3 linked regions of the Alligator mississippiensis genome follow. The protein of the gene in region 2 binds, or shares a complex with, the protein of the main gene of each other region. Links are inferred from orthologs where the notes say so. Each region holds a gene or a part of one and is shown on either strand. Other genes may lie near its edges.

Evidence for each region. Proteins that work in one complex are often made in the same cells at the same time.
Region 1: XAB2 (region 2) and PPIE share a complex: the UniProt entries of both Homo sapiens proteins name them as parts of the XAB2 complex. The link is inferred for Alligator mississippiensis from reciprocal best matches to the Homo sapiens genes XAB2 and PPIE.
Region 3: XAB2 (region 2) and PRPF19 share a complex: the UniProt entries of both Homo sapiens proteins name them as parts of the XAB2 complex. The link is inferred for Alligator mississippiensis from reciprocal best matches to the Homo sapiens genes XAB2 and PRPF19.

What each region holds. Positions count from the first base shown.
Region 1 is NC_081829.1:4,836,585-4,847,049, reverse strand, and holds the start of PPIE (peptidyl-prolyl cis-trans isomerase E), read right to left. Parts: upstream 4,791-10,465; 5' UTR 4,729-4,790; coding exon 4,698-4,728; intron 4,539-4,697; exon of another isoform or gene 4,345-4,538; intron 4,264-4,344; exon of another isoform or gene 4,245-4,263; coding exon 4,146-4,244; intron 2,793-4,145; coding exon 2,749-2,792; intron 1,838-2,748; coding exon 1,811-1,837; intron 1,060-1,810; coding exon 978-1,059; intron 1-977. Other genes in the region: PABPC4 (polyadenylate-binding protein 4), read right to left, coding at 8,963-9,049, 9,136-9,266, 9,715-9,808. UniProt on the Homo sapiens protein: Involved in pre-mRNA splicing as component of the spliceosome. Combines RNA-binding and PPIase activities.
Region 2 is NC_081831.1:24,939,097-24,949,714, forward strand, and holds the start of XAB2 (pre-mRNA-splicing factor SYF1), read left to right. Parts: upstream 1-6,264; 5' UTR 6,265-6,390; coding exon 6,391-6,441; intron 6,442-6,987; coding exon 6,988-7,136; intron 7,137-8,207; coding exon 8,208-8,331; intron 8,332-8,855; coding exon 8,856-9,053; intron 9,054-9,611; coding exon 9,612-9,746; intron 9,747-10,065; coding exon 10,066-10,230; intron 10,231-10,618. Other genes in the region: PCP2 (Purkinje cell protein 2 homolog), read left to right, coding at 23-94, 807-930, 1,094-1,242, 3,958-4,101; protein PET100 homolog, mitochondrial, read right to left, coding at 4,958-5,038, 5,220-5,252, 5,400-5,486, 6,016-6,042. UniProt on the Homo sapiens protein: Involved in pre-mRNA splicing as component of the spliceosome. Involved in transcription-coupled repair (TCR), transcription and pre-mRNA splicing.
Region 3 is NC_081825.1:177,219,614-177,229,776, forward strand, and holds the start of PRPF19 (pre-mRNA-processing factor 19), read right to left. Parts: upstream 4,791-10,163; 5' UTR 4,418-4,790; coding exon 4,399-4,417; intron 1,108-4,398; coding exon 958-1,107; intron 578-957; coding exon 501-577; intron 345-500; coding exon 203-344; intron 1-202. Other genes in the region: TMEM109 (transmembrane protein 109), read left to right, coding at 5,572-5,620, 5,774-6,039, 7,756-7,858, 9,189-9,577. UniProt on the Homo sapiens protein: Ubiquitin-protein ligase which is a core component of several complexes mainly involved pre-mRNA splicing and DNA repair. Required for pre-mRNA splicing as component of the spliceosome.

The sequences.
Region 1 (10,465 bases), on a different chromosome or scaffold from region 2:
CATGTTCACCTGTTACACTAGCAACCAGGTCTAAACTCACTGTGGGCTAGGCAGCTTTAAGGTATCTTGAGAGCGGGCGGTTTGACCCCCAACAGCATAGCTCTAAAGGCAAGGAGTGTGTGAGACAGAGAACTACCTGCCTGCGATAGAGCAACAGGATGGGATCATCACCAACAAGAAGGGCTGTCAAGACTTTCAGTCAAGTCAAGCCTCCTACAGCAGTTACCTGTCTACGTTATCTGGCAAGACATGCTTGCCTATTTCTTCCTCAAAAGGCTTCAAGCCGAGGGGACATTTTCCAAATACTTCAGGAGCTTAAGAGCCCAAATGCCATTTTCAAAAGTGATATGGGTGCTTAGAGGCTGGTTTCATTGAAAGAAAACCATTTGACCTCAGACACTTAGAGCTAGCCACCCAGCTGTGGGAAAAGGATGGTACCCAACAAGCCCTCTGTGCTCGTGATTTGTGTGTAAGCCTGTGTAGAGGATCCCTGTTTCCTTTAGCCTTCTGGTCTGTTTGGTTTGAACAGCAGAGGCCAACCTTTTTGACAGGCATGCCACAAATTAGCCCTGCATCCTCCCCATGTGTTTGCTCAGTTATCATGGCACCTCCAGAATCCACCCAACTCCCACCTCCCAATCCCTCCTGGGCAGAGTATTTTACATCCTCTTTTGCATTTCCCTTAAGGCAGATACCTCAGATCCACACAGCCTTGGCCCACATGTTGCACGCCAGTGATGGCAGCCAGCTGGGAAAGCATAACCGCAAGTGCTTCCTTCTTGGAGGAACTAACAGCCAGTTCTGCCCCTGAGCTCCCCATCAAATCCCCAGGCCAAGAAACAAGAGGCAGAGACAGGAGATAGAAGGCAGAGGCCTAAGCAAAGCAATGGGGAAAGCAGCCCAACAGCCAGCAGGGAATCCACGAGGACCTCCTGACTGAATCCGGAGACACTCCCCTCTCTCATCCACCAACTCACCAGGTCTGGAAGAGCCCTCCTTAATCCGCATTGGCTTGGCCAAATTGACACGAATCGTCCTGCCAAACAGCTCTGATTCGTTCTACAGAGAGAGAAGCAATCAACGGTGAGAAATCTCCCTTCCCTCAGAGCCTTGTAGACCTCAGGGGAAGACTAGGCTATGCATCTCCCCAATCCCCTTCCCATTGTCATCAATACCCCAGGCACTCTTAGCATCGGCCAGGACCCCAGGGAGCAGGGTTACACAAACACCACAGAGAGATGGTCCCTGCCCCAAACAGCTTATCACTGAAGCGCTAGAAGAGATAGCAGATGGACAAACTCAAGGAGATGAGTAGGCAATATGGTGATGTGACAGGCAGTGCCTTCAGCAAGCCGGAGGCCTATCTGTAGTCTGAGCCCTGCACAGGAGACATCTTCCTTGAGCACATTCTATAGCACTTCTCCAGTGCAGTGACCACCCCCACTTTTGCTGGCAATTCCCTTTTTCATCCAAGCACTGGCCATCAGCAATATAACTTGCTGGAATTCATTCTGGACTTGCCCGGGGGAGTTCAGAACTGAGGGAGCTATCAGAATACCATCCCTCCCACCTGAGAAAGGGGCAGGAAGTATCAAAGCCACGTTTCCCTTGCTCAGGCTAGAAGGGACGAGCTGCTGCCACAGGCGTTGGGGTTTGTTAGGTAAGGAACCAACAGGAATAGCCGGGCAGCACTGAGACAATGTACCTCGTCCCACCAGACTTGGAGGACTGCAGAAGCACAGGCCACATGGCCATCGGAATGGATGAGACTTTCCTAACAGTCAGGATCTGACAGGAAAAAAGCCCTTACCATGTTGTCAATAGCTGCTGCCGCATCCTAAGGCAAAAACAAGAAAGAATATTTTACTGCTAATTCAGCCCTGACGTCCCTCTAACCCTGTAGAAAAGGTACTTAGCACCTGGCCTGAAGTTTGGGTTTCATTTCACTCCACTGTCCACCTTTGGATCAATTTTTACCCACAGGTTTTCCTTTCTCCCCAGCACTAGCCCTGTAGCTTCCCGCTGCATCCGGCTAGGACCTTCTTAGTTATTTTTAGCCACAAGGTCTGGCAGCTGTGCAGCTTCCTCAATCCAGGTTTTTTTCCCGATCTGCATAAGATTCTGGTCATTTATCATGCTAATTTGGGGTCGGGGGCAGATCTTGGGAAGGGAGTATTGGACCAGGAGCAAAGGGCAGTTCATAGGGCCCATTAACCTAAAACATCGCTGTTAGCACAAGGGACTGAACTAGCCCTGGAGGAAAGCCAACAATGTGAACCATGGAGAAGCTTCTGAAGAAGCTGTACTCCAGTCCGAAGGTTGAAAAACTGCAGAAAAAAATAAAAAGAGAATCAAAGAGAAGTTGGGCTGGAAGGGACCTCCTGAGGTCATCTAGTCCAGTCCTCTGCTTGAAGCAGGATCAGCCCTATCCAAGCCATCCTATTCAAATCCATGGTCCAACCTCTTAGCAAAACTACAGTCAGCCCCAACACAACACCCAAGAGGTAACCCCCTAATCTGTGGAAGACCTCATAACAGTGGGACCAGAGAAGCAGAACAGAAATTCCACAGAGTATCATATAGAGCCAATAACACTAAAGAGTTAGTCATAAAGTGTAGAATCCTATTTCCACTTCAACCATAAAACTCCCATTGGATTCAACTGACACAGGATCAGGTAAAAAAAAAAAAAATAAAAAAAAATAAAGAAGAGATTTCAAACTGTGTTAAAATGTGCCCTTTTCTCACCTCAGCCAGCTCAAACTCAATGAAAGCAAATCCTCGGTGCTTCTCTGTGGAGAGACAATGAGCAGTTACCTTCACAGTATTACCAGGAAAACTTTGCCCCCATGAAAGTCAAAGCAGGAGAGGTCTGGTGCATTAGTTGGGCTACCAAGGGGAATCCACGTCTATGCTGCTGCCTCCATCTGAGAGTTTAGATTCTGTTTCAGAGACTTTCTTTCTTACCTGCTGGTACAAAGCTCCACTAACATCAAAGGACTCTATTATTTCTATCCTGCGGGAACATTAAACTACTCTTTATTATGATGTTAATGATGCTAAAATATCCAGCTAATTAATTCTCCAGTAATGAATTTTAACATTTATTTGTCCCACAGGGGGGGAAATACCACAAACAGGAAATCTTAAATGCAATCCTGAAATAAAGTCCCAGCACAGAGCAATCTGCAGCTATACAGAGCCTCATTGAAGTCAATTCTGTGCAGATGAAATTCAGTGCAGGGTCTAGGACCTGGCTTACAAATGATGCGAGGCATTGTTAAGCCCTGTGGGTTGCTAATTAGAAAATAAATGAATGCACACCATTTAAAAAAAACAAACATGAAAAACACACTTGGTTAATCTACTTGGGAAGCTGTAATCTAGTTGTAATTGTTCATGCAAACATTTCAGAAAGTCTTATAGGTTTGGCCCAGCAAAGGAGCTTTAGCAGTAACATCTGCTAGCAAATCTTTACTAAAAGGCAGGGAGTGGATGCAGGGGTGTGAGGGTGTTAAGCTCAGGGTGGGTTTTCATGATTCAGATACAGGCAACCCCCGCTTGGTGCTCTTAATTGATTCCTGAAAAACCGAGCGTTAAGCAAAACTGAAAGTTTTGGACGACCCAAGATAGCGACCGCAAGCGTTTTTAATGACTCCAGATGGCAACCGCAATTGCTGAGTGCCAAGTGAAACCAGATATCAATTTTAAATGAGCATTATAGCGATAGCGTCAAGCAGAAGTTGCCTGTACTGCTCTGAAACCTCTGAAATGGGTGGAGTTTGCTGGAAACCTCAAGCCTGTGAGGTTTCCCTCCTGCTCCCAAGCCTGCACGTGCATCCTGCAAATGCAGACCGTTTTAAGTGACAATAACGCCGATGCAGCAGAAAGATGCTGGGGTGCGATGTTTCAAAAGTGTTAGCGCCGGTATTACCATCGTACAGGGCTTCGTTTGTCCTTTTAGGAGTAATCAAACTCGCTCCCCAGGCTCGAGCTTCCAAGACTTCCTGGGACGCCGTGAACCCCAGAGCGAGCGCCTTGCGAAGGACATCCGACACTCCGCCGGGACACCGTAATATTACTCCTGAGGGAGACCCCGGCGCCCCGTGTGAAACGAGCCGGGCCGAAAGCCGGAGCCCACTCACCGGTTTCGTAGTCCAGCGGTATCTGGATGTCGGTGATGTCTCCGAAGGGGATGAAAGCCGCGTGGAGAACCTTCTCGTCCACCTCCTCGGCCAGGCCGCCTGCAAACCAGAGCGAGCACTTTAGCGGCGCGACGTGTATAATCACGAACGTTTCCCGGCGCCGAAGAGCAAGGGAGGCCGCCCCGCCAGCATCCCCTACCTGCTGCTTTCGTTCACGTCTCGTGGTGCCAAAGGCTGTTTTTAGGCTTGAATATGAATCCACTCCCCAGGGCCCACGAGACAGAGACAGAGACAGAGACAGAGACAGAGAGAGAGAGAGAGAGAGAGAGAGAGAGAGAGAGAGAGAGAGAGAGAGAGAGTGTGTGTGTGTGTGTGTGTGGGGGGGGGGGGGGGAGGCGCAGCCCCCTCACAACACGGATTTCCAAGCGCCTCTTTGAGGGCCCGTCGCAGGCACGAGTCCTGCTGCCTTCTGGCCTCGCACCGATGTTCACTCCAATATTCACAACTGATCCCACACGGCCCCCCACCCCGCCCCGGGGTCCCGCTCCTCACCCACGTACAGCACCCGCTTGGTGGCCGCCATCTTCGCTCCCAGCAGCCCCCGCGCGGCACCCCGGGACGTTGGGCGGCCCCGCCCCCGCGCAGCGCCGGGCGTCGGCCAAGGGCGCGTGCGCGCTTGCGTCACGCGGCAGGTGCGCCCCCCTCCCCGTGCGCATGCGTGCGTCTATACACACCCACGTGTAGGACAGGGGAGGTGTGCGCGACACGCGCGCACTCGCCCCTTCCGCGTCTGCACGTACGTTGTATAGCACCGGCTTTTGGGAGATTCGGCTCGTGTGTACACACACTACATATACACCATGCACACAATGAAGCTCACAAAAGCTTGTGCCAAACTATGTAAATATACAATATAGGTGTGTATCCACACCCACTGCAACAAGCTGTTGTGCTATATATATGGTACATAGATAACCAAAGGATGTGTGTGCACATGCACGTGTGGTGTATTTAATATATATGCATACACAGCTGAAGCTCACATTAGTTAGAAGTATAGACTCACCCAGTGTGTGCACACCTAGTATACATAATGACATCATCTATACATACATATGTAGCTGAGGTGTAGGTTGTAGCGGTGTTGGTCTAAGGACATAGGCAGACAAGGTTCCTTGGGTGAATTTGATATCTTTTATTAGACCAACCCAAATGGTTGGAGAATAGTTATTAAGCAAGCTTTTGGGTTCAAAAACCCTTCATCAGGCTAAAGCTTCAGCAGTTGGCATGTTCTTCCTGGATGGAATACGTAGCTGACACTCAAACGTTTGTGCTTGTGTGTGTGTCTATATACACATATACAGATGATGTCATTATGTATACTAGGTGTGCACACACTGGATGAGTCTATACTTCTATCATATAATGTGCATCTAGGAGGTAAGGATACACAACACACACCATAGTACAAACTTGTGAGCTTCAGCTGTGTGCGCTACCCCCTCCCCTTCCTTCAGTCTATAAAGTATAAATCTCATCTGCCCTGCCTTCTACCACTGTTATTATACCTAACTACCCATTGCTGAAAGGATAATACAATTCCCCCCCATCACCAGTTTTCTCTCACCTGTAGGTTAAAAATCTCTGACTCCAAAAATTATCCATATTTTTTTCATTGAGTTGATGTTTTGTGAGACCTGCGGCATAAACTACCTGGTACGGCTAACTAGGAGTTTGAGCAGCATCTAATGAATTGAACTTCAGCCCATGAAAGTTTGTGCTGCATATTGCATCTTATTTAGCTGGTCTGGAAGGGGCGTAGATCTACCCTGCTTTCTGCCTGCCTTCAGACCAATACAGCTAACTGCCTCTAACCAGGAGTCTGACAGTAGTTTCTCTGACGAGCTTCTGCGTAAGGCAGCTGCACAGCAGTTTGCTGAGGCATGGTTCGGATTAATCCCAAATTAAGCAAAGCAGCTAGGGCAAATTTATGAAGTGCAGTTGGAAAGAAAAAAAAATGCATTAGAAGTGGTCATCTCAAAGCAGCAGGTCCAAGGCACAAGCTGGATTTCTCAGGATATCTACCACTAGATTGCTCAGTTATCTAGGACACAGTATTGAAACTGAAACCTTCCTTCCTTGATTTTCAGCTTACCAACAGGAGACCCAAGGCACTGCCTTGCTGTGCTTCTGCTCCGCAAGCTTGTTCTATTCTTGGGCTTGGACACAGACCATTAAGTACCAGATTTCTAAACAGGTTTCTTGCATATTTTAACACCATGGTTTGCTCGTAACAGTGCAGCAGACAGGCAAAATGGCACATCAGTCTTGCATTTATACCCCCAAAATCAAAAGAACCATTTGCACTTTTCTAGCACCACTCATCCAATGGTCTCAAATGGTCTATAAACATGAATTAAACCGCTGCTCCCCTAAGCAGGCACCCTTATTTTACAGCGTTAACTGGTACGTGCTCAGCATTTCAATGGTTTTCCTTTAGTAAAATCTTCAAGTCATTGGACAGTCTCAATTCCTCCCTTCTGCCTTGATCTGGGCTGTGCTTGTGCTCTCCTGTATTCATGTTTATACCACACTCCATGCCAAAGGCTCACCCCAACGTCACAAAGCACACGCTAGTTCTACTGTCACTGAAAGGCAGCCATCTATCTCTAAGGTGCAGCATACACTTACCAGCGCAACACTACATTTGTGACTATTAAAAGGAAATGACAAGGTTCTAGGGACATATAGGGGTTGAAATACCACACAGAGATGAAGAAGAAATACAAAAGCTTAACATCAACAAAAACAAGAAGGAACTGTCAGATTGAAAGGAAGAGACGAAAAGAACACAAGACTTCTATGCACATTGACTTGGGTCAAGGGAGCACTGTTGATGGCCGATAAATACCTGTCTTCATGTATATTTCAGAGTATTGGGTGCATCTAACTGTTAAATTGGTTAGTTAAGTTGGATTTCTTAATAAAGTATTAAAAAGTGGCAGTATCCAATTAAAAGTGTATCTCAGTTCCTCCTACACAGTATGTAGTCATGCAGAATAAAAAACTACCAAAATCACTTCATCTTGTAGACTGCTGTGGGATTTTTAAATGAAAAGTGATCAATCAAACCCTGTTTCTGTGCTTAATCTGAAAAATGTTGCCCAAGACCACCTCAGAGGGCAGGGGTCCACTTAAATAAACTATCAGTTACAACCACCTTAGAGTTTCTTTGAAGATCCAAAACAGGGCCCAGTTTGAAGTCATAATTTAAAGTGGAGGTTTGGCCTAGCCACTTGTTAGCTTAAACAGAATAATAACAGGATTAAACATTTAAAACCACAATTCAATCAGACAGTAATTACCTAACAGTTTACTTCTGACCAGCAGAATAAATCCAGGATGGCTAAGCACACCGTGGGGAAGAGACCCATTTAGTGAAAGTTTTTATTCCTTTATTGATAAACACTTTCCAGATTTTGCAAACTGGATTGTTCAGTTAAAACCAAAACCACAAAAAACTTTCAATCAGAAATCCTTAATGTCCTGCTTAGAAAAGACAAAGGTTAACTCTGTCCTGGCCACAAAGGAAAAGCTTGCAAACTTAATCCTGGTCTTGGAAATCTAAAGCTTCATGGAATTGATTTTTTTTAAATAAGATTTTAAAGGTTAATTTACAAAATGCAATATGGTTATTTGGATATGGTGCATGGTGCGGAGATCTGCAGGACAGTTAAGAGTATCTTCAAACATCTTGAGCTGATGTCTATGAAGGGGCTATTTGGCTTCTTTGCATCCTGTGCGGGGAAAAAAGGTTAGAAAATTAGTTTGCTTTTTTTCCTGCCCCCATACAGGCATCTTGGTTTAGCGCAGACTGACAGTAATTTAAACATGACCAGCCCATTAAAAATTCCCAGATAACTTCTTATTCCTCTCACCGTGTAGGTTTCTATCTACAGTTGCTGATATTATCCACCTCTCCATAACATTATGCTGAAGGTGGAAATATGAAAACTTTGTGATGAGGGAATAATTATTGTTGCAATGTCAAATTATTGACAAGCAATGGCCAAGCTGCATACCGCACACTTTTACAACACGTATGCATGGTGTGTTTTCATTTTAAGCCAGTGCCTTCTAGAATGGAAGATTTCCCATAATCCTTTACTGCCAGTGCTCTGGCAGCAGTCCTGTAGAAAATGCCTTGAAATTCCTGGTAACTCCACACACATCCATATTAAAGAACTCATAAATGAAACAGTTGTAGAAAAGCATATGAACATCCAGTCCTAGTCTAAAGATACCCATCTAAAAAGGCATGGAAAAAAGAAAATCAGAGATTCTATAAGAATCACTCGGCAACTAGCAAAACCAAGAACCACACAGCAAGTCATGCCAAGCTTGCCAAGTCATGGTGTGCACTTCGGTGCTATTCTTGTCTACCTCAGGGTAACTGTCAGGACAAGACATGGACATTAGCAGCATACCTGGGTTTGGACAAAAATTGCTCGAGGCTGGTCTCATTTTGATGAATTCTATTCCCCGACACAGGTGAATGATTTAAAGGGCTTTATGAATTCCATGTCAGCATATTTTAATCTTCCAAACATGTCTGCTTGCTGTAAGGAACTACCTTCTTTTTTATGTGCTTATTTCTTCAAGATTAAAAGTGGAAGTTTCTATTTACAAGACGTAGTCTGGCATCCGATGCCATTATACCTAACCCCACTTCTTGGCAGTTTATATCCTCCCAAACTATATTCCAGTGAATCTAAGGTTAAGAAGTTCTAACTAACACACTCACCAGTCTTCCTGGTTTAAGAGGTAGCAGCAACCACGCCCACCTTCTGGGCAGCTTCTTTCTTGGCTTGGTGAGCCTGCAACACAGCAACAGCCTCCTCCACCTAGGGAAGACAAATTGCCAGGTAAGATCCATCATCTTTAACAAAATCACTCAATCCAAACTACCTTGAGAAGTGGGAGAATTTACCTTTGACCGGAGGGATTCTGGAGACTCCAGCATGTGCAGTAGCTCTGAATTGTCAATCTCTAGCAGCATTCCTGTGATCTTCCCCGCAAGGCTGGGGTGCATAGCTTGAATCAGGGGGAACAAGCGTTCTCCTAGGAAAGTAAAGTTCAAATGGTCTTTGCAGGGTGCTCTCACAGGTCCTTTGCAGCAAGTACAGCTAACAAGGGAAGCAGATAAGCACCTATCGAAGTTTTAAACTAGAGCAAACATTAGCTTTACATTTCCATGGCATCTAATTTCCATGCCCCACCCCTGATCTTTTTTTCACTACTAGTTTTTAGGGAACACTAGATGTTTTCAAGTCTAAGTCAGAATGCCCAACTACCATCATTTTTAAGCATCACTGTATCTACACCCAAACTACTGCGTGTAGGGGCTAGCAAAACACCCCTTATTTTCACAAAAAGGAGCCTCATGCATCCCAGTTGCTTGAGACTTTGTGCTTTAAAAAGCTCTGAAGTCAAATATGATAATGAGAAATGTGTTCAGCTCCCTCGCTGTGCAGAAGGCAGCAGGACTGACTTCCGAATCATCACTTACCCAGCATCTGTTTCTGCTCCTGGGGAGGGGCAGCAGCCAGCATGGAAGCCGTTAAAGGTTCCTGTCCCTGCACGTGTACTGCAGGCTGAGGTGCCTATAAGAGCCAAAAAAGCAGCATTAGCTTGGCTGCTTTGTGTTTAAAGGGCAGTGAGACAATACATTATGCCTCTTCCAGGACACACGTCAGCCCCTAGCAAAGCCTCTACAACTGGGAAGGCCTATGCAAGGAAATCATTTCAAGGAGAAATGTGATGGAGGCTCATAGCTCCCAGCCACACAGAACCCAAGCTGCAGAAAGCAATCATATAAAAACTCAGAGGCATGTTGTCTGAGAATATCCTAAGTACAGACAGCTTTAGTACTGTGCAAGGCAGCAGTCTGCTTAGTGGAGCCAGGTAACACTAAGGTAAGAGCAGTACTAGTTTGTGGCTTATGCCCTCCAGCAGGGCCGGCCCATCCTATCCTATAGAACCTGAGGCCACAGGGGGCCCCACAGAGCCAGGCGGAGAGGCCGTGACCCCTCTTGTGTTTGGTGGATGTTTGTCTAGCTGTTCTGGCCGGAACGGGGGCCCCGCACAAGCTGATTTGCCCTGAGCCCTGCACCCTGCTACGGTAGTCTCTGCTGATGGATCAGGGGGCCCCAAAACTACATCTTGCAGGGGGGCCCAAAAAATTGTGGGTCAGCTCTGCCCTCCAGAGATGAGCCTGGTGATCTCGATGCACAGCCCAACATTATCTTCAAGGATACCTT
Region 2 (10,618 bases):
CTCCAGCTCTGGTGCTGGCCCGATGACAACACTGGAGGCCAAGGCTGAAGAGGAGAAGGCGGCCGCAGCCCCGGGCTCCAGCCCCTCCAGCAGGGTGAGAGGGCAACTATGGGCATAGGGGTGTGGGGGGCAGGGCCCCATTCCACTAGGCTGAGCCATCCCTAGAATCAGTTGCATTGCCAGTGGCTGAGCCCCACTCCCACTTCCTGGGGGATGAAGCCCTCCCCACCAGGGAGGCTGCTGATTGGCTGCGGGGAGAGAGAAGTATTATCCCCTCTGTGGGGTCCCAGAGCCACACGGTTGGGGGTGGGGGGGCATGGACCTGGCTCCTATCCTGCCCTCTGGGCCTTGGTTGGATCTCCTTGGAGCTGAGACTGGGATCCAGTAGATGAGAGCTAGGAGGGCCCAGGAGCTGGGACACCTACCTGGGTTTACTCTTCAGCTCTGGGTGCAGGTTGGGGCTGAGTGGGGGGCAAGGTTAGTGCTGGGCTGGGAGCACGGATGCCTGGGTTCTCTCCCATCTCTGGGAAAGGCATGGAGTCTTGAGGTCGGGGAGTGTTAGAGCAAGGAGGTTAGAAGCCCAGATGCTTGGGTTCCCTCCTTGGCTGTGGGTGAGAAGTGAGGTCTGGAGCAGGGAGGGGCTGACAGCCTGGACACCTGGGTTCCGTGCTCAGCACTAGCCTCCCTTGCAGGGTTGGGAGCAGGGGGAGGGCTGTGCTGTGCTGTGCCCTAACAGTGCCTGGGACCTGCTGCCAGGGCCCTGGGCTCTGTGCAGGGGTTCACACAACCCCCCCTGCCCCCCCCAGTCGGCTTCCCCGGAGCAGGAGGGTTTCTTCGATCTGCTGAGCCACGTGCAGGGCGGCCGCATGGATGAGCAACGCTGCCACCTGCCCGGCACCCACGCCTCAGCTGGTCCCAGCCCTGAGACCCGTGAGTCCCGGGGGTGTGGGGTGGGAATGGGGGTGGGGAGAAGGAGCTTGGTAGGGCAAAAAATTAACTTGGGGGCTTGGGGGGCAGTGGGGGCCTACCCAGATGCATTCTGGGAGGCCTTAATAGTCAGGACCCCCTGTCTAATCTCTGACCCCCCCTGCAGGGGAGAGCCCGAGCCCCCCACCCGAGATGGACTCCTTCCTGGAACTGGTGGCCAGCAGCCAGGGCCGGCGCATGGACGACCAGCGCGTCAGCTTTGCCCACCTGCCTGGCTTCCAGCCCGCCGAGCGTGGGCCCCCCACCCCGCCCAAGGTGAGCATGGGCCATACGTGTGCCATGGTGGGGGTGCTGAGCAGGGCTGTGTTCCCTCCCCTCCGGCTTTGTGCCCCCTTGGAGTGGGAGGAGGGTGGGAGGGTCCTTTCTGCTCCCAAGGTGGGGAGAGAACCCAGTTGTTTGGCTCCCACCCCTGTGCCCACCCAGTAGGCCTTGCTGCCAAAGCAGTGTGGGGACCCAGGAGTCCTGGCTCCCAGCCCCCTTGAACCCCTGCCTCAACCTTCCAGAGATGGAACCCAGGTGTCCTGGCTCCAGGGTCACAGCCGCCCCCAGCCCTGCTTGGTACTGCCTGGGCTGTGACCAGTTGCCAGGGTCTCTGGTGCCCAGGGTACGCTGCTACTGAGCCCTTTGTGTGTCCTGGGTGCAGCTGGGACCTAGGGCAGTCACCCCTCGTGCCCCACCCCCCTAGGTAACTGGGCTTGACTGTGCCCTGGCATCAACATTGCATGCTGAGGTTAACCAGCTGGGAGCCCTCAAACCAGCTCACCCACCCCCTAACCAGGTAACCATCCCACTAACCAGTTGAGACCACAAACCAGCTCACTAGCTCCTTAACCAGCCAGGCACCCACTAACCAACTCTCTCTCTGTCTCCCTTGTGCCCATCTGGAGCTCCATTTATGTGTCCTGTCTGTTGGGGCTGGGCATGCGTGTGCTTGTCACTGGGGTGGGGGGGGGTGGAGGGGGGTGTTGCCCAGAGTCATGTTGTGTCCTCATGGGTTGCTCTGGGAGGCAGAAGCTAGGGCTGGGGGATAGAGCTTGAGCTGGGGACACATGCATGTATACATGCACATATATAGAGAGCACGGATCACCCAACAGGGGGCAGCAGCACACACATGCCCATGTGTACATCTGCATGCATGTAAAGACCTGACTGTAGTGCAGGTGTACACATGGGCATGCACCCCCCCATCCCAGCAGGGGGCAGACACGTGTGCGCGCACGCGCACACACACACACACACACACACACACACACACACACACACGAGTCCAGTGCAGCCCCAGTCCAACAGGGGCAGACATGCACATGTGCACACACATGCACACGTGTGTGTGCATGCATGTGCACGTGTGCCCTGGGGTGCGGGAAGGGGCCCCTGCTCCTGCCTCCTGCAGCCCTGTCCACGTGCCTCCATGTGTGCCCAGTGTGGGGAGGCCAGAGGGCAGTGCCCAGGCAGGGTCAGTGCCCAGTTTCCTCTGTCCGTCCCCCAGCTTCCCCCCCATGCACACTGCCATGGACATTTCTTCCTCTTTGCAGAAGTGAGTGTTGCTGCCATTGCCTGCGTGTACATCGCACCCAATAAAGACCTGCTCTGGCCCCGCTTCTGTGTCCATGTAGCGCCGGCGGGGGGGCAGGGGGGCTGGGACTGAGGGCAATGGAGGGGGTCACTTGGCTAGAAACAGCCTGGGGTAGCCGCACAGGTGCATCACACATGTGTACAGACATGTACACACCTGCAAGTGAGGCAGGAGAACAGGGGTATCACACACTTGTACACACTGGCACATAAGACAGGAACACAGGGGTGTTGTACACATGTACAAACAACTGCACATGGGGTAGGAGCACAAGGATGTTGCACATGCATGCAGTCAGCGTGTACACACCTACAGAGCATGTGAACACACTCACATACACACAGCATGTGAATATACACATACACATATGCTTGCACTAACCCAAGGCGCACACCACATGGATACGCCCTTACACAGTCACATGACAAGCACAGTGCCTACAGGCATGCTCTCTCTCACACACACACACGCACAACCATGACCTGCACATCACGTGCATGCACGCTCAGGCATTCACCCACACACTTGCTCACCCCCCTTCAGACTCTCAGCTTGGCTCAGAGTCCCTCCTCTCTGGCCAGTGGGGGTCTAACCCCTGCCCACCCCCAAGTGTACCCATGGGGATCTGTCCCATGTGGGGGGATGACTCCACCCCCCTCTAGGAGCTGGATGCGGAGCTTGGCCTGAGCCCCCCACCCCCAATAATCCCCTCAAGCCAGGGATGTTCTAATGCTGGGGCCTGGCCCCCAGAGATCCCTGGCCAGCTGATGGGGTGGGAGGGTCCCAGAGCAGGGTGCAGTTCTGGTGCGGTGGGGCAGGGCCATGTCAGCCTGTGGGTCGGGTAAGCTTATGGGGGATGCATACTTACATGGAGTCACACATCTGGACACAGGCACATGTATACACCAATGCACACATGCATGCCTGCACAAATGCATGCACACCCATATACTGATGTGGGCACATTTGCACATACATGCGCAAATGTGCATGCATATATAAACGTGCACAAATGTGCGTACAGACACATGTACACATGCAGAACAACAGCTGGGGAGTGGGGGGGGGGGGCTGGGGTGGCAGCAGTTATCCCTGCAATGTGCAGCCTCCAGTGCTAACAGTGCCTACCCTCTCCACTATCAGCCCTGGGTGCCCCAGGAAGCTCTGACCAGCAGTGCCAGGCCTTGGGGAGCACCTGCCCCCCCCTGCCCAAGAGCAGGGACTAGGGTGGGGTTGGTGCCCATATTGCTAACTGCCTGCCTGGGCCAGGGCCCAGGTTGGGGGAGCTGGGCCCCCCCCAACTGAACCCCCCACCAGGGGCTGCTGACATCTGGGCACCAAGTGTATGTCTGTGTGGTCCAGCTCACACTGATGCCTGTGTTTCTCCTGCAGGAGGGCGAGGCCCCCGCCCACCCCAACACCATGGCCCTCCTGGACCCTCCCATCACACCCTCCGAAGACTACTTCACCCTCATCCACCAGCACCAGTTGCAGACCACTGGTGCCTGGCTCCGCAGCCCCCCTCACCTGCCTTAGTTCTTCCCACCCTCCATCAACACTCCCCAGAAGCCCCCCCACTCACCTGTGTCCCCATAATACCCCCATCAACTCAATATGCCCCTCACCCACCCCCTTCCAACCTCAATACTTTTCCTACCTTCTAGCAGCTACCCCATGAGCTCCAGGCCCTGCCCCAGTATCCACCCACCTAAACCCTGAGGTCCCACAAGTGCCCTCCCTTCACCCCAGTGATCCCAACCCCAGACTCGCCCAGGCCTCTCGCTGCAGCACCTTGGGTCTGAACTAGGGGCCCTAACCCCTGGATGTGGGGGCAGATCCCCTTCCCCCAGCAGGGGCCCAAGGCCTGGCTGGGAGGTATTGAGGGTCTCTTCCCTGCACCCCAAGGCTGGAAGGTTGAGGGGGGTGGTCTCCCCTTCCCCTCTGCACATGCCAGCACTACAATAAACTAGTCTTTGATGAAAGCAGGTGTGTGTATGTGGTGCTGGTGGGTGCGGGCACGGTGGGAGTGGTGAGGGGACCGCCCAAGGACCAGCTTGGCAGAGGCAAGGGTAGGCAGGCTGCTCCGGCTCCTTCACAGTGTCTTGCTACAGCTCCAAGCCCCCCAGCCCCTCGGGGCTGGTACCAGTAGGGAGAGGGGCGGCAGCATTGTTAGGCTCAAGAGTGAACGTGTTAACTTCCAGCTTTATTTATGGAATGGCTGGAACACAGGGGCCACTCACAGGCAGTAGAGGGTTGTTACCCACTGGGGGCCCCAAGGGAATGGGGAGCCCTATCACACCTCTGCAGCCCTGTGCCCCACCGCAGCACCCATCCAAGGGGCTGAGCCCTGCAAGCCTCTTGGGGTGTGGGGAAAGGGTGTCCCTTGGGAGCCTCATTTCCGAGGCGCCTGCAGGAGCCGCCGCTCTTCTTGCTGGTTCCGGATCTGTTCCTTGAAGGCTTCCATCTGCTGGTGCTGGTGGGGAGGAGAGAGAGCATCAAAAGGGTAACTGGCCAGGGGGGAGGGAACACAACAGTTCCCATCTGATGGAGCAGCCACCCCCACCCCGCCGCCCCTCAACCCAAACTTCTGGGGCTGGGCATGCCCCCACCCCTGAAGCCAGTCTGGGGTTACAGAGCAGTAGGAGTAGGCTCACCTGGAGGGGGTCTTCTGGTGGGTAGATCTCTCTCTGCCAAGAAAGGGAGAAAGGATTTAGGTGCCTCTGAGCAAAGACTGGCCCGGCCGGGGTTGCACCAGCCTGTCCCCACACTGGGGTAGGGGCAGGGATAGGGGAACCCGCCCCCCGGAACTCAGGAGTCCTGCCCCCCTTGCCCACCTTGCGCTGGATGACATACTTCTCGAAGTACTCAGCCTGGTTAGAGATCCAGAACATGGCCACGGGGAAGGACAGGTACAGCGTCATCTGCAGGGGAGGTTAGCGTGGGGCAGGGGCAGCGTACCAGACCCCAGCTCAGCGAGGGGAGCCGGGGCAGCAGCCAACAGGCCCCGGGCTCCTGGGCTGTGCAGGAGCCCATGGGCATCTCTGGGCCATGGCCAGGCTGGGACGGGGCTGCCCCGGCGGGACACGGATCCGGTGGGCCGGGCGCACGGGGTCCCAGCTGGGCCAGGCCCGTCCGGGCCCCGCGGCCCCGACCCTGCCCCAGGGGAGGCCGAGGGCGGGCAGGGCCCAGCGCGGGGGGGGTGATACACCGCAGACCTCAGGGGACAGCGAAACCCCCGACCGCTGACCAAGGGGAAGCGGCCCCCGCCCGGACCCCCGGGCTCAGCCCAGGCAGCAGCATCGGCCCAGCCTTGGCGGCCCGGGCTTCACTGGTGTCTGAAAGGCCCGGGGGGAGGCAGGGACCCGGACGCCTGGGTCCTCCTGGCACGGGGAGGGCGGGGCGGAACCCAGTCGTCCCGGACCCCACCCCCAGCGCGGCCGCAGGACCGACCCGTAACACCTCCAGCTTCACCCCCATGGCCGCGGCTCCACGCCCGCCGCTTCCGCCCGTCCTCTCCCCGCCCCGCGGCGGCCGCTTCCACCCTCCCGCATCCCGCAACTCCATTGGTTTGCACCTCGGCGATGGCGGCACTCATTGGCTATGGCAGCAGCGAGGCGACGCCCCTGTCCCGCTGCCCAAAGGAAAGATGGCGGCCGGAAGCCCACGGCCAGCTCCTGGGGGGCGGGCTCTCGCCGCAAGCGGCCAACAGGCGGGCGAAGGGCGGTGACGTGAAGGAGGGTGACATAGACATCATCTCAGTGCGCTGCGGCCTGCTCGGGGCGAGGTGGCCTGCTCGGGGCGAGGCCGGAGCTTGGCGGGGTCGCGATGCCGGATATGGAGATGCCGGGAGCGGTGGGGCGGACCGACCTCGTCTTCGTGAGTGCGGGGTGGGGCCTGGGAGCCGGGGCGTCATTTCTGGGGCGGGGTGTTCCTCGTCCCGGGACACCCAGGGCCCCCTGAGCTGGGCCTCGCCCCCCCGGCTGCCTTTTGAACCCAGCCCTGCCCCAGTGACCTCCTGTGGCCCCAGTGTTGCCCTTTGACCCCGCCATCACCCCCCCCGCCCCTACTGCCCCCCAGCCTTGTCTGCGTCGCCCCATAACCCCTCCCCCATGTGTCCCCCTGTAACTCCCTGGACCTGCCCCCCAGTGCGCTGCCTGACGTGCCCCTGTCCCCGCAGTATTTTCTCCCTGGATCTCTGGCGCTTTCCCCCCCAACCCCTGCCCCACCCCTGCACTGTCTGGTCTACCCCCATGTGCTCCTCTCAGCCCCTCCCCCTGGCCCTACCCCCAGCGCTGTCTGCCCTGCTCCCATGTGTCCCCCCCAACTCCTCCAGCCCTGTCTGCTCTGCACCCTGCCCCACTCTCACTGCCTGGAGGTCGGGGGTGGGGGCACCGTGCTGACCCAAGCATGCGCTGGCGGCAGGAGGAGGAGGACCTTCAGTATGAGGAGGAGATTCTGCGGAACCCCTTCTCCGTCAAGTGCTGGATGCGCTACATCGAGTTCAAGCAGAGTGCACCGCGCCACGCACTCAACCTGCTCTACGAGCGGGCCCTCAAGGAGCTGCCTGGCAGGTGGGTGTTGGAGGAGGAGGGGCTGGAAGAGCTTGGGGCCGGGGGCCCTGGGCAGGTGGGTGCTGGGGGGACAGGGAGCACTCGGGGTAGGAGATCCTGGGTAGGTAGGTGCTGCAGGGGCATGGGGAGCTCAGAGCTGGGGGTCCTAGGCATGTGTGTATTCAAGATGTGTGTGTGAGTGTGGGGGCCACTCAGTCCAGGGGAAGTTCAGAGCAGCAGGGTCCCCAGGGGGTATTGGGGGGGAGGGGCAGGGACCCCACAGGGCTGGGGTCCTGGGGAGACAGGTGCAAAGGGAGGCAGGAAGAACTTGGCAGGGGGGCTCTGGGTAGGTAGGTGCCAGAAGGGGGCTGGCAGGGCATGGAGACCTCAGAGTTGGGAGTCCTCAATCAGGTGGCTATTTGGGGGGGGGGGGGGGGCATTTAGGGCCACCCCCAGTCTAGGGAGAGCTCAGAGCAGCAGGGTCCCCAGGTAGGTGGGGGGGGCAGGGAAAGCTTGGGGCGGGGGGCCCTGGGTAGGTGGGTGCCTGGAGAGCTGCAGGGACGTGTGGAATTCAGATTTGGGGGTCTGAGGGGGAGGCATTTAGGACCATCCCCTAGTCCAGGGGGAGGTCAGAGCAGCAGGGTATCCAGGTGGTAGGTGCGTGGGGTGTGCAGAAAAAGCTTTGGGGCAGGGGAAGCTTAGGTAGGTAGGTGACAGGGGGCACAGAGAGCTCAGAGAAGGGGCTCCCTAGGCAGGTGGGTATCTGGGAAGGGGCAGTTAGGGTCACCCCTGTCCAGGGGGAGCTCAGAGCAGCAGGGCCCTCAGGTGGGCAGATATTTGAGGGACAGAGCGTCCCCGGGCAGTGCAGTACCCTCCAGACCCAGCCAATGATCCCAGGGAGCAGTTGCCACCATCCACATTTCCACATGAGGTCTGGTCATCCCTGCATTGTGGGGCCAGCTCCAGTGGAGGGTGGGGACCGTTGTGTGGGGGGCTCATTGGACCAGGGCTCAGGTGCCAGGGACATCCCCCCCCCCCCCCCCCCCCCCCCCCCCCCCCATGGTGCTGACAGTCCCAGCCCCCCCATTGCAGCTACAAGCTGTGGTACAACTACCTGAAGCAACGGCGGAAGCAGGTGAAGAACCGGTGTGTGACCGACCCTGCGTATGAGGAGGTGAACAACTGTCATGAACGTGCCCTTGTCTTCATGCATAAGGTAGGGGGAAGTGCAGGCTGGGGGGGGCTGAGGAGCAGTGGGGCAGGCTAGGGGGCTGCATGGGGCTGGGGAGAATGCAGCAGGTTGAGGCTGCACAGGGACTGGGGGGGTGGGGAGAGTGGGGCAGCTGCGGGCACTGAAGGGGCTGGGGAGATACTGGGCAGGCTGCTGGGTCCCTCTGGGGCTGGGGAGGGTGGTTGCAGGGCAGGCCAGGGGAGGAACGGTGCAGGTTAGGGACCCCAGCCCTGCTTCTGGCCTCGTTCTGCCCCACTTGGGACAGGGGATGGCTTTCCCCTTGAGGGTTATGCCCCCTCCCATGCACCTGGCTCCAGGGAAGCATTGAGATCTGATCAAACTTGTTGCATAGGTGTCCATAGTACAGGCATCTTTATAGTGGTGGGGAGGGGGCAGTCTACTTTGTGGCTGTCACAGCAAGCCTTGGGGGATTGTCAGGGCTGGGGGGCACAGAGACGTGCCCCATGCCCCTCACATCAGTGCTATGAGGTGCGGGGCACTGCCCACAGATGCCACGCATCTGGCTGGACTACTGCCAGTTTCTGACGGAGCAGTGCCGTGTGACCCGCACGCGCCGCACCTTCGACCGGGCGCTACGGGCGTTGCCCATCACTCAGCACCACCGCATCTGGCCGCTCTACCTGGCCTTTGTGCGTCGGCACCCGCTACCTGAGACTGCCGTGCGTGTCTACCGCCGCTACCTCAAGGTGAGGCCTGGCCCCCTATTGCTCCCTTTGTTGGGGGATGTCGGCTGTGGGATGGAGGGTCCTTGTTGGGTGTGGGTTGGGTTTGGGGAATGGAGAGGGGCTGCTCTGTTGGGCCTAGGAAGTAATGGGGAGATCCTACTGCCCATGGGGAGATGGGAGCTGGGGCAGGTGTAGGTTCCCTATTAGCTGTGGGGTAGGTTTGGAGGCCCATGGGGGTGTTGGCAGGGGTGCTGTCAGCCATGGGGGTAGGAGCCAAGGGCCTGGTGGGTCCCTGTCAGCTCTGGGCTGGGTCAGGGGGGTCCAGGTTGGGGAGAGGGCCTCCCCTGTTGGGCCTGGAGGGGTGTTGGGGTGCCCCTGTCAACTGTGGGTTGGGAACCTGGGGGGTGGAGACGGAACTGGAAGGTCCTTATCAACTCTGAGAGAGGTTTGGAGGCCTTTGGGGGGTGTTGGGAGGACATGGCTGTGGAGGTGGGATATGTAGGGGTGATCCAGGGGGGTGGATTTGGGGGGCCTGGGGATGCATGACCAGATTGGACTGATCCATGTGCCCTCCTGCAGCTGAGCCCAGAGGGGGCAGAGGAGTACATCGAGTACCTGCGCTCCATCGACCGCCTGGATGAGGCTGCCCTGCGCCTGGCAGCCGTCGTCAATGATGACAAGTTCGTCTCTAAGGAGGGCAAGTCCAACTACCAGGTGGGGGTAGGAGCAGGGATCTTTGGGTGGGGTGGGGTCCTGGAGAATGGATGGGGTGGGGTGGGGCTCCTAAGGTTGGGGTGGGGCCTGGTGCACAGGGATCCTGGCATCTGGTCAGGGCCAAGGCGGATCCCTAGGGTGGGGCTCTGGGCAGGTTCAGGGCTGGGGTTTTATGGGACCATGGGGCGGGACAGATGCCTTGGGTCTGGACGGGGCTGCCCTATCCCCTCCTGCCCCTGAGCAGTGCAGGGGGTAGTGACAGCCTGTCCCCCTGACTGCCTCCCTACTCCGTTTTCACCCTGCCCCTTCCCCCCCACAGTTGTGGCACGAGCTGTGTGACCTGATCTCGCAGAACCCCGACAAGGTGAAGTCACTAAATGTGGGGGCCATCATTCGTGGGGGCCTCACACGCTTCACCGACCAGCTGGGCAAGCTGTGGTGTTCCCTGGCTGACTACTACATCCGCAGCGGCCACTTTGAGAAGGTATTGCTGGGAGCAGCTGTGTGCTTCACCATAGAGGTGGTCACAGCTCGGGGACAAGGAATGTCCCAGAAAGGGGTGGAGGCTCTGGGGTGAGGGCGCAGCCAAGGCACCTTCCAGCATAGTGTTATCCCCCATTTCACCCCAGAAGTGGTCGCATTTCAGTGCCATAGGGACAGGTGTTGCAGGAAGGGATGAGAGAGACGTTCAGTCCCAGAGGTGGTTGCATCTTGGGGACAAGGAGTGTCACAAAGGGGTGGGCCAAGGTACCTTACAGTGTAGCTTTATCCTATGTTCCATTCCAGAAGCAGTTGCCTCTCTGCACTATAGAGACCGGAAGTGTCACAGAAAGGAGAGGGGCCTAAAAGTGGGGATGGGGCTAAGGCATCCT
Region 3 (10,163 bases), on a different chromosome or scaffold from region 2:
AGTATCATCACAGCATTGCTTCCCCTGCATCATCTGTACCAGCATCTCACTGCTCCATAGTGCTAAACCCTTCCTTCTCCTCACTCCCACCAGCCTCCAAAGTCTAAATGCCCTTCACCCGCCCCGCCCCGCCCCCGCCCCCATTGCTCAGGCACAGAGCCCTCAGCAGGTCAGCCGACACCCCCCCCCCCCCCCGTGTTACCTTCTCTGGCAGCGGTGACCTCTTTGGTGAGACGGGCAATGACACGACAGGCAGCATCATGCTGGTACAGCGCATGTGACAGCTCCTGGCGGGTGGTTTGCAGCTGCTGGCGAAGCGTGAAGCTATGCAGCATAACAGCATCCTGCAGAAGGAACCACAGCATGAGGGGAATCAGAGCCAGCTCACCAAGTTCCTTTTGCCTACTCCGGACAGGGGATCCTGTGACCTCACTTCAGAGCAGCAGTGAGGGCTGCCTTCCCAACATAGTTTGTATGGCAAGAAGGAGTCAGGCACTTACCCACTCATCTTGGAGGGCCTTCAAAATGGCCGGGATGCTGGTAGCAGAGGGTGGCTTGGGTCGTATTGGGTGGGCAACTGTGAAGGAGAAACACAGGGGGACATTAATGCCAACAGACAGGATGAACCTGATTATCCATCTCTTCCTCTCCTTAAAGGCACCTCTTTCATCCACCTGCACCTCTGCTCCCATTCCATTAATCCAGATCCAGCCACACCCTCAACGTATTTGTCGTTTTGTGATTAGTGCAGTAGCAGGTGGACTGTGGATCTATACAGGGGATTTATTATGTTGTGTTGAAGCATCTGGGCTGGTGTCTCACTTGCTTATCAGGCTAGAAGTCCAGCACCAGACAGAGCAAAGTGACCAAATCACAGTACCAGCTCAGGGGCTCAAACGTTGTCCCCTTGGTTTGCCCCCCTCCCCCCCCCCCCCCTTTCTCCTTTGCCCTTGGTACCTTTGATGTCAATAAGCTGCTCTTCCGATAACGGCTGGTTGTTCACAGGGTCAGTGCCATTCTCAGCGATATACTTTTCAATCAGCCGGCGCTCATAGACATGATTTGACACTGGAGACACGCAGGGGTGCTCAGGCACCTCATTCGAAACTGCAAAGGGTCAGAGACAGACAAGACACGAGTGGCATTAAAGCAGGAAGGGTAATTCAGGCAGCATGAATCCCCTCCCACATCCTGGGGCAGTTCAGCAACATGGGAGCCCTGGGAGGATAAATAAAACAACCAGTCTCTCAGCCTCCCAGGATTGCACAAGAGATCAGTTAAGTTTTCCCATAGCCTCATAACACACAGAGCAACATACATCTTTTTGCATGTTGCTACTGTGATCCTTACTCAAGTTTATCTTCACTGACCTCTGCATCTCCATCCTGGGAAGTTTGAGTAGGTTAGACAAACATTTGCTTTCTAAACCTGTCTTCTGGTTTAGAAAAGTATGATGCTGCCTTGAGAAGCAGGCTGGAGTTGGGAACATCCTGTGGTCCTTTTCCACTTTATTTTTCTATAATCAAAACCTTCCCGCAACACCTGCAGTCTAGCAGTGCTCACAGCTCCAGTTGTTCTCAAACTTAATTGTATCACATACCTTATTTTAAGTTTCTTATAGTGCTGGGTATCATGATTCTATACTAGACAACACTGTATCACTCTCACCACATCGTTACCTCTCCAACACCCTAAGAGAAACTGCTGAGTTCATATTTTCATCTTTTTTCTCTATTTCCCCTTTCCTTCCTGACACTGTCCTGTTCCTTCCTCTCATATATCCCAGTTAGAGAAACACTGGCCTCTTCATTTTCTTTCAAACCACCAGCTTGGCTTTCTTTAGAGGGTGAGACAGTTAATGCTGAAGCTAATTCAAGTGAGCCTAAAATGCCACACATATTGATCTCTGCTGCTGTGTTGTCTGTACCATAGATCGCAACAGCAGTTTGCCTGTCCTACTAATATTACTAAGAGATGTGCCCAGGATAGTGGTAAATGGTTTACTTAATGTGGTACAAAAAAAAAAAAAGGACTTATCTTGTATTCAAGAAACCTTCAGTACAGTACTCAGGGTTAGAACAGGAAGAGCTATTGGGGAAGTTTTCTGAAATTTTGTCCAGCCTCAAGGACTGGTAGGAGCAGCTTTCCATGACGACCTGGTTTCAATTCTGAGTCCTGGGGCTAGCAAAGTACCTGGGATTCTACCTAGTCACAGGTCTGGCAAAGAAAACCCTGCGTTTCTGAGCCTGACCAGGAAGGCAGTATGGCCTAGCACTAACTAGCACTCCTTCAAAGAGCTGGTCATAATCCGAGCTCTTCTATAGGCCACTGCCAGGTGACCCTGTACAAGTCGTTCCTCTCTCGGTGCCTCAGACTCCGCCGCCAGTAAGAGAGGGATAACAGTACTGCCCTTCTGTGTAAAGCTATGCAAGATCCATTGACAGGTATCATATAAGAGCTGAGCATCTCTTTCTCCTACCCTTAGTGCATCTCTATGAGAGAGAAGGGGTCTGTCTGCTGAGCTTGGAGCTTCACTATGGAAAAATATGGGGGGGCAGGGGAGATGTGTGTAGGTACATACATGCATGTGTATACATACATATCTACATAATTAACAAGTAACCTCTTGGGCTCAGCAATGTACATCACTTTGCCCTCAATATCCTGCCAATGGAGCCCTTGGAGTCTGCACCCACCACAGGGGAACTGTGGTACCTTTATCAGCACTTACACACACTGTTCCTGCCCAACCAGGAAGGACTCCAAGTGCCTTGCCAAATGGCAGGTGTGTATGTCAACCCCCTCATCATTATTGATACTACTGACACACCTAGGGGCCCTAATCATAAACCACATCCCCAGTGGTAACACACTACACCAATGACTCATGGCAACCCAGGGTTGCACAGCACCCTAATTGAGAATCACTGCACAATACAAATGCACACGAGCCACTAGTTCAGAGGCTCGTCTGCATGCCCAGAGACATTCTCCTATCCCATCAGCAGGAAAAGTCACAGTAAGATGGAAAATGTATCAGATTCCTGTAGCCCCTGCTACATGTTACATATATTTACACAATTAACTGTTTAATCGCACAACCCATTTAGACCAGCCATAAAGTTCTTGAAAAGTTATAACAACTCTATAGCTGATTTCTTTCCAGCTTTAATTGGAATGTGTAGGAGGGCCCTAAGTAAGCTGTTTTTCTGGCACTTTCATACCTGAGCTAAGACAATGTTGATCACGTATTGCTTAAAAATTAACTTTTGATCTCAAGCTAATGCTGAAAAATGTTAGGCCAGGGGAGGGAACATCTGGGAAGGGTGTCTGAAGCTGAACAAAGAACTAGGGTGGAAACTGCCACACATCCCAAACTTCAACCCCGACTGTTTCCACATCAAAGGAGCGGTCAATGAGCTGAACCTTCACCCTAGGGCAAAATGACAGAATCACAGAAAGTGAGTGTTGGAAGGGACGTCAGGAGGTCATCTCGTCCAACCTCTGCTCAAAGCAGGACCATCCCCAACTAGATCATCCCAGCCAAGGCTTTCTCTAGCCAGGTCTTAAAAACCTACAAGGATGGGGCTTCCACCACATCTCTGGGTAACCTGTTCCAGTGCTTTACTACCTTCCTAGTGAGAAAGTTTTTCCTAATACCTAAGCTAAACTTCCCTTGCTGCAACTTGAGATCATTGCTCCTTGTTCTGTCATCTGTCACCACTGAGAACAGCCTAGCTCCATCCTCTTTCGAACCCTCCTTCAGGTAGTTAAAGGCTGCTATTAAATCCCCTCTTAGTCTCCTCTTCTCTAGATGAAATAAACCCAGTTCCCTCAGCTCCTCACAAGTCACATGCCCCAGCCCTGCCACGGGTTTTCACTGCCCTTCGCTGCACTCTCTCTGGCTGACCCCCAGGGGGCTGGGGGAGGAGTGGGGGGGACATTAAGGGCAGGATTTGGTTCAACCCTCTAGAAGTACACTACAGATTTGTATTTGAACTCTCTGGGTTGTCCCAGGGTTGGGCTGTGTCAGTGCGCCTGCTGGGACCAAGACCGGAGGCTCCTGGCCAGGGGGGCCATGGCCCCGCGCTCAGGATCAGACCATCCCCACATCTGGGCTCGGGAAGACCCGTTCCCCCGGCTCCGGCCTGACACGGGCTGCAGGGGCTTCGCCTCTCCCTGCTCGGGGCGCAGCCGCCCCCGGGACCTGCTGACAGCGGTGCCCAGAAGCAGGCCGCTGGCTGCGGGGCGGCCCCGCTCCCCACCCCGACCCGCCCCGCGGCCGCCCCCGGGGGGCTGCGCGCCGCAGCCTCCAGCGCGGGAAAGGTGGCAGCGCCTCCGGCCGGAGCGCTTAGGGAACGGGGCCGCGCTCGCTCCCCCGCGCCGCACCGCACTCACTCGAGCAGATCAGGGCCATGGCGGCTGCTGGTCCCGAGCCCGCCTCGCTCTGGCTCCGGTTTCTGCTTCCGGGTCACGGGGTTCTGCTTCTGGCGCGTGTGTGCCAGGCCCACGAGGGGGACGCGGGGACAGGGGGACGGTCCCTCTCGCTCTGGTCCTCCCACCAAGCCCCGCGGCAGGGCCGCGCCGACCACTTCCGTCTGCGAATGTGTTTGGGGGGCCCGCCCCGAGGCGGAGCGGGGAGCTGCCACTGGCGGCCAGCGACCTGTGGGACCAGTGTACCAGTTCCGCCTGCCAGGCCGCGAATCCCACCGAGCACAGCCTCCCTTCCCGGCATGCCCCGGGCGGCGGCGCGTTGCCGTGGCAACCGAGCGCCCGCGGCGCCTAAGAGACCCTCGTGGGACCTGTTGCTCCCGTCATGCCCCGCGCGCGAGGCGGCTTCCGACCCACAACCGTCATTCCCAGAATTCACTGGGCGAATTTCCCCCCTCACGTCACTGCCTCCCTGAAGGACTACAGCTCCCAGCGTGCACCGCATGGGTGAGGGGTGAGCTCCAACCGCTGAGAAAGCCACGCCCCCTCAGCCCAGCCCCGCCCCTACTCCCGCCCGCGCTGGGGTGAGCTCTCAAGGGGGGGCGTGTGCTTTCCCCCCCCGGTCCCCGCGTGGCTGGGCCGAGGCCCTGCTCCCGCCCCCAACCCCGTCCTTGGGCTTGCTGGGGTGTGGGGACAGCAGGCAGTGGCAGAGGGGGCCCGCATGGTGCCGCCCTCCCGCCCAGCACTGGCGCCCAAGCATCTCTCTCCACCCCGCCTCCCCCCAGTGTCGGCTTCTGGGACTGCGCCAGGGGCAGGCCTGAGCAGGGCGTGTGGGAGAGGGATTGTGTGTCACCCCCCCACCTGCTGCGGGGGGCCCAGCTGTCCTTTCCATCTCTGCAGGCCCCACACTGAGGTCACTGCCCAAAGTGGGAGTGAGGCAGACTTGACCTTTGGCCCCTGGCTCCTGGGATTCTTCTCAAACGAAGGGCCGGTGGCGTGGGTGCGGGTGCCTGCTCTTAGACCCAGGTTCAGTCAGCCTGAGCAGCCGGCTGCTGGGGAACAGCGCAAGGAGCTGCCTCCGGTCGCCAGTCGTTGGGAAACACAAAAGGTTGGGAGCGGAGACAGGCCCAAGCGCCAGTAATGAGAGAGTGGCCCGTGGAGGATCCTCAGTTGACAAGGGAGCATGCTGGTACTGCGGGGAGTGCATTTGCCCTCTTGGCAGTCCAGGGTGGCCCTCCCCATGGGCAGGATAGCTCTGACCCCAGGACAGGAGGATCCTGGGTTTCTACAGCTTTGTTACTGTCTGTGACTTTACTCATCTCTCCTCTCTCATTTCCTTCAGCAGGGCTTCTTGGTGTAGAGAGAAGAGCTGGAGAGATGGCGGGAAGGGATTGCAGGTCCTGGAGCTGCCGCCAGCTTCTGCTCCGACCAGCTGTTGCTCTCCTGATGTCAGCCGCTTTCCTTCATGTGGCCAGCGCTCAGAACCGGTCTGGCAAGCTTTGGAAAGAAGCACCCGTCCACACTGACTTCTTGTCCCATTTGGGTCAGGCCATGAAGGAGACCCTGGAGGAGATGATTGGGCAGGAGGCTGTTCAGATGGTGGCTGAGGTAAGGCTGGAATTCCAAAGGGGCTGGAAGAGGGTGGAGGTGAAGGTCTCTGTGCACAAAGTTTGCCCCCCTCTGCCGGTGTTAGAGAAATAGCTATTAAGCTTTGCCAAAGTTGTTCAAAGAGCTCCAGTGAGAGAGTCCAGTTTGAGCTTTGGACTGTGACTCTGGAGACATGGTTTCCAGTTTTGTCATTGGCCTGCTGAGTGACCTTGGGCAGGTCAGTTTGCCTTCCCCTGCCTCAGTTTCCCCATCTGTAAGATGGGGATAATGCCAACTTCCCTTGTGGAGCATGTTGAGGCTATGGCTTAAAAGCACCAGATAAAAGCTGGGTGCTACATATATCAAGGTTAACATTGAGCAAAGTTATTGATCTGAAATTTCTTATGCAGCTTGTGCTGGCCAGTCCTTGCTTCCCTAAGCCTCCTGCTACCGAGGGAGGTTTGAGTCACTTTAGCTCCAGGTATCTGCTCTGAAAAAAGGCAGCATGTGCCCAAGTGACTGAGATGTGGCGCTGTTGTTAGACCTCTGGGTTCCAGTTGTAGTTCTGTCTGTAATGAGCTCCTGCAGCTTCTTAGCTAGCTTATCTCCTGGGCAAGTAACAGTTACACACCCACCCCCACCCTCCAGCAGGGGCATAAGGCTTCATTTAATAGGGGCCGTGAAGGGCACAAGTCAGGAGTAGAGAGGCTAGGTAGTCTGGTGGGTTAGGCACCGAGCCTGAGATTTGGGAGACCCAGGGTAAAGCCTTTATCTGCTGCCAGCTTCCTGCTTGACTTCTGGCAGGTCATTTAGTTCTCAAAGGAGTCTGGTTTGAAACTGCCTCCATTTTCCCTAGGTAAAACTAAGAATAATAGACATTCAGATATTGTTGTGACAGGCTAGAAGATAGAAGCATCAGCTGCTTATTTCAGGCAGAGCTCCTTGACGATGGAGCCAGCTGGATGGCTGAACAGTACTCTGGCCCCATGGGAACAAGCTTTCAGCACAGATTTACCTCTTCAGGAAGCTACCCACTTCTCAGGCTGTGGACAGATTTAACTGTCAACCGTTTTAAAAGGGGAGGAGTTGTTCCGCTCTGCAGCTTATGTCAGCTGTGACAGCATAACTGTTGTGTCTGCATGATTCTGTAGGGAACTAAATTGTTGTAACTTGAATCCTGTGGGATGCAGGGATAGGGTTACAATGGCTTTGCTACAGTGGTCTCCCTGCTGGAGCATGCATATGTGACAACTTATATTGGTTTCATTGATAGATACACCATGGTTTGGTCTGCATACACTGTGTTGAAAGAAGCACCAACCAGCTGGCTCTGAAGCTGGCAGTATTGGTTTCTGGTTGGGGTGTTTCTGCCATCTGTTAGGTGGACTGGTTACACAGCTTATCCATCTGAGCTGAATTGCAGCTGAGCTGGGCACCAAATCCAAAAGGTAGGGATGGGGAGACTTGAGGCCACTATTGTACTTTTCCTAGTACAAAGCCATCTCAGCCCCTGTGGGGGGGGAGTTAAAGCATCTTTGGGGTTGCTGTAAGTTATGTCTAGTGGGTTCCTGCTGCACCTACAACCAGCGAGGGCTATTTGCACCCAGCCAGGCATTGGTTCCTATCAGAGCTCTCTCATGGCCCCTGAAACCTCATACGCAAGTGGTCTTGTCTCCCTTCTCCCCACTGGTGTCTTTGAACACATGGCAGGGACTGAAATTTCTCTCTTCCCTGCAGACCATCTCTGCCATGTTCTGGATTGTCTCCAATGGCATCTCTGCAGGGCTGATCATCCTATCTGAGATCATGGGACAGATCCTTAGTGCTTTTGGCATGAATGGTAAGTTGCTTTCTATCTGTGTGATGATATTAATGCCTAGAGACCCCACCTGAGGGCAGGGCGCCATTGTGCTGGGTACTGCATAAAAGCCCAGGCAAAGGGAGGGAGGGGAAATTGAAGCATCAGCTTGCTCACAGCAGAGGCAGAATTAAGAGCAGGAAGCAAATCTCTGGTTTTCTGGTTAAGTGCCCACTCCCCTGAAGCCCCCTTCCACAGCCCCATCTGTGGAAGGTTGGGAAGGCTGTTCCGCATCCCTGTCTCTGGGGCAGAGATGTGTTTCTCTGAAAACCAGTCTTTCACTGGAGTATGTGAGGGCCTCAGTCCCATCCCTCACAACAGACAAGGGTGTCTGAGCTTCCCCTTTCAAGGCCTGTGGCATAGGAGGGGTCAACTCAGGCTTGACAGCCCATATCATCTGGGGAGAGCAATTTTACTTTCCTTCCAGTACTTAATGGGCTAACCCTGATCCTTATCCCTAAATAAAGAAAAGGGGCTCCCATCTGGTAAGGAGCAATTCTCTCCAAGGGTTTCTCTTCCCAGCACTGGAGAGAGCTCTCTTGCCACCCGCACCACTCCCCTTTCGACTCCCATTATGCCGCTCTCTTCAGGAGCAGCCTGCCCCAACATCACTTGGGCAACAAATAGGGCAGTCATCCAGCTTCTGGGTAGCCAGGGACCACATGCAGCACAGGCCCCGGACCCTGGTGCTGGAGGAGCTACCTGCCACACAGCTGAACTGACTTCCCTCCCCTTCCCCCCATCACATGTGCAAACCCCTCTCCCAGCCACACATGATGTGGGGGTAGCACACAGTGTGGGCAGCCTGGCTTCTTTTTTTTCCCCAAGCACACAGCCTGGCCCTTGCTGTGCTGCACAGCCCCCAAGAGCAGGTGTGGGAGGGAGGGTTGGGGGGCAGGAACCAGAAGTCGGAGGAGGGATGGAGAGTCTATAGATCCCCGCCATTGTTGCCAGAGCAGGGACTGGAGTAGCGGCCAGGCAGGAGCGTGTGGGCCACATGCTAAACCAGGGGTGGGCAAAATGCAGCCCACGGGCTGGATGTGGCCTGCCAGGCTATTGTATCCGGCCTGCGGGGCCCCTAAAAAATATAGAAAATTCATGTTTATCTGCCCCTGGCTGCCTGCCATGCAGCCCTCGATGGCTTGTCAAAACTCAGTAAGCGTTCCTCTGCCCGAAATAATTAATTGCCCCTGTGCTAAACCCTTGTAGGCCACCATTTGGACAGCCCTGATGTGGGGATGCCCTATCCCAGAAGTGCCAGCCCGGTGCTGGGACACCCACGCACCTCTAACCCCTTTCCTTCTCCCTCCAGGGGACCATGTGATGCAGACCTTGAAGCTAGACCCTGTCCATGTGCAGACTCTGCTGCTGTGGGGCCTGGCTGCGCTGTTTGGCTATTGGCTACTGTCGCTGGTGCTGGGCCTGGTGCTGAACATCCTGGGCCACATCATGACAGGGGTGAAGGTGGCCTTCTTCCTGGTCTGCTTCATCTTCATCATTTCCTCTGTGCCCAACCCCTCCTTGCAGGCCCTGCTGCTGCTGGCCCTGCTCACCGTCTATGCCCTGCTGGGGCGCCTGACTAGGACGCAGCATTCTGGGACACAGTTAGAAGCCAAGGTGCACAGCCTGGAGCAGCAGGTGGATGAACTGCGGCACCGCCAGAGGCAGGTGTCCCCCAGGGACCTGGAGCAGGAGGATTGAGGGGCTGGGAGGGACAGCCTTTTCCCATCATGCTATACCAAAAACTGACTCAAGTAGCACCACTGCCTTCATGCTGCCCCTGCTCCTCCCCTCCCCTTTGTACACACTGCCAACCCCAGCCACCCCATAGACTTCCAGAGTCTCTCCCTTGTGTGTAGGCTCCCAGGCCCCACCTGCCCAATGCATTCATTCTCCCGAGCCCCTTCTCTGTGTACACCCATTTCACCCCACCCATTCCCTCCTAGAATCTCTCAAGCCTTTCTCCTCATTGCCCCTGGCACTTGCAGCTGCCTCCCTCCTCTAAGGAAGACCAGAGCCCAGTGGAAACTCACTAGAAGGGAAATGAGCCCCTGGGAGAGGATATAGCTCCCTGGCCTGCCCTCTTCCTGAAACAACAGGGGCTGGACAATCCCACAACCATTTCCTGTAGCATCACTGCTCTGGGGCTAAAATTTTAGGGTTCATGGGGGCAGGTCCTTTGTGGGGGGGGGCAGTTCCAGTCACTAAAATGCTAAACTTCCTATTTCCCTGATGTCTTCCTCATCCCCTTTCCCAGCATCATCCTCTGAGTTTTTCCCAACCGCTC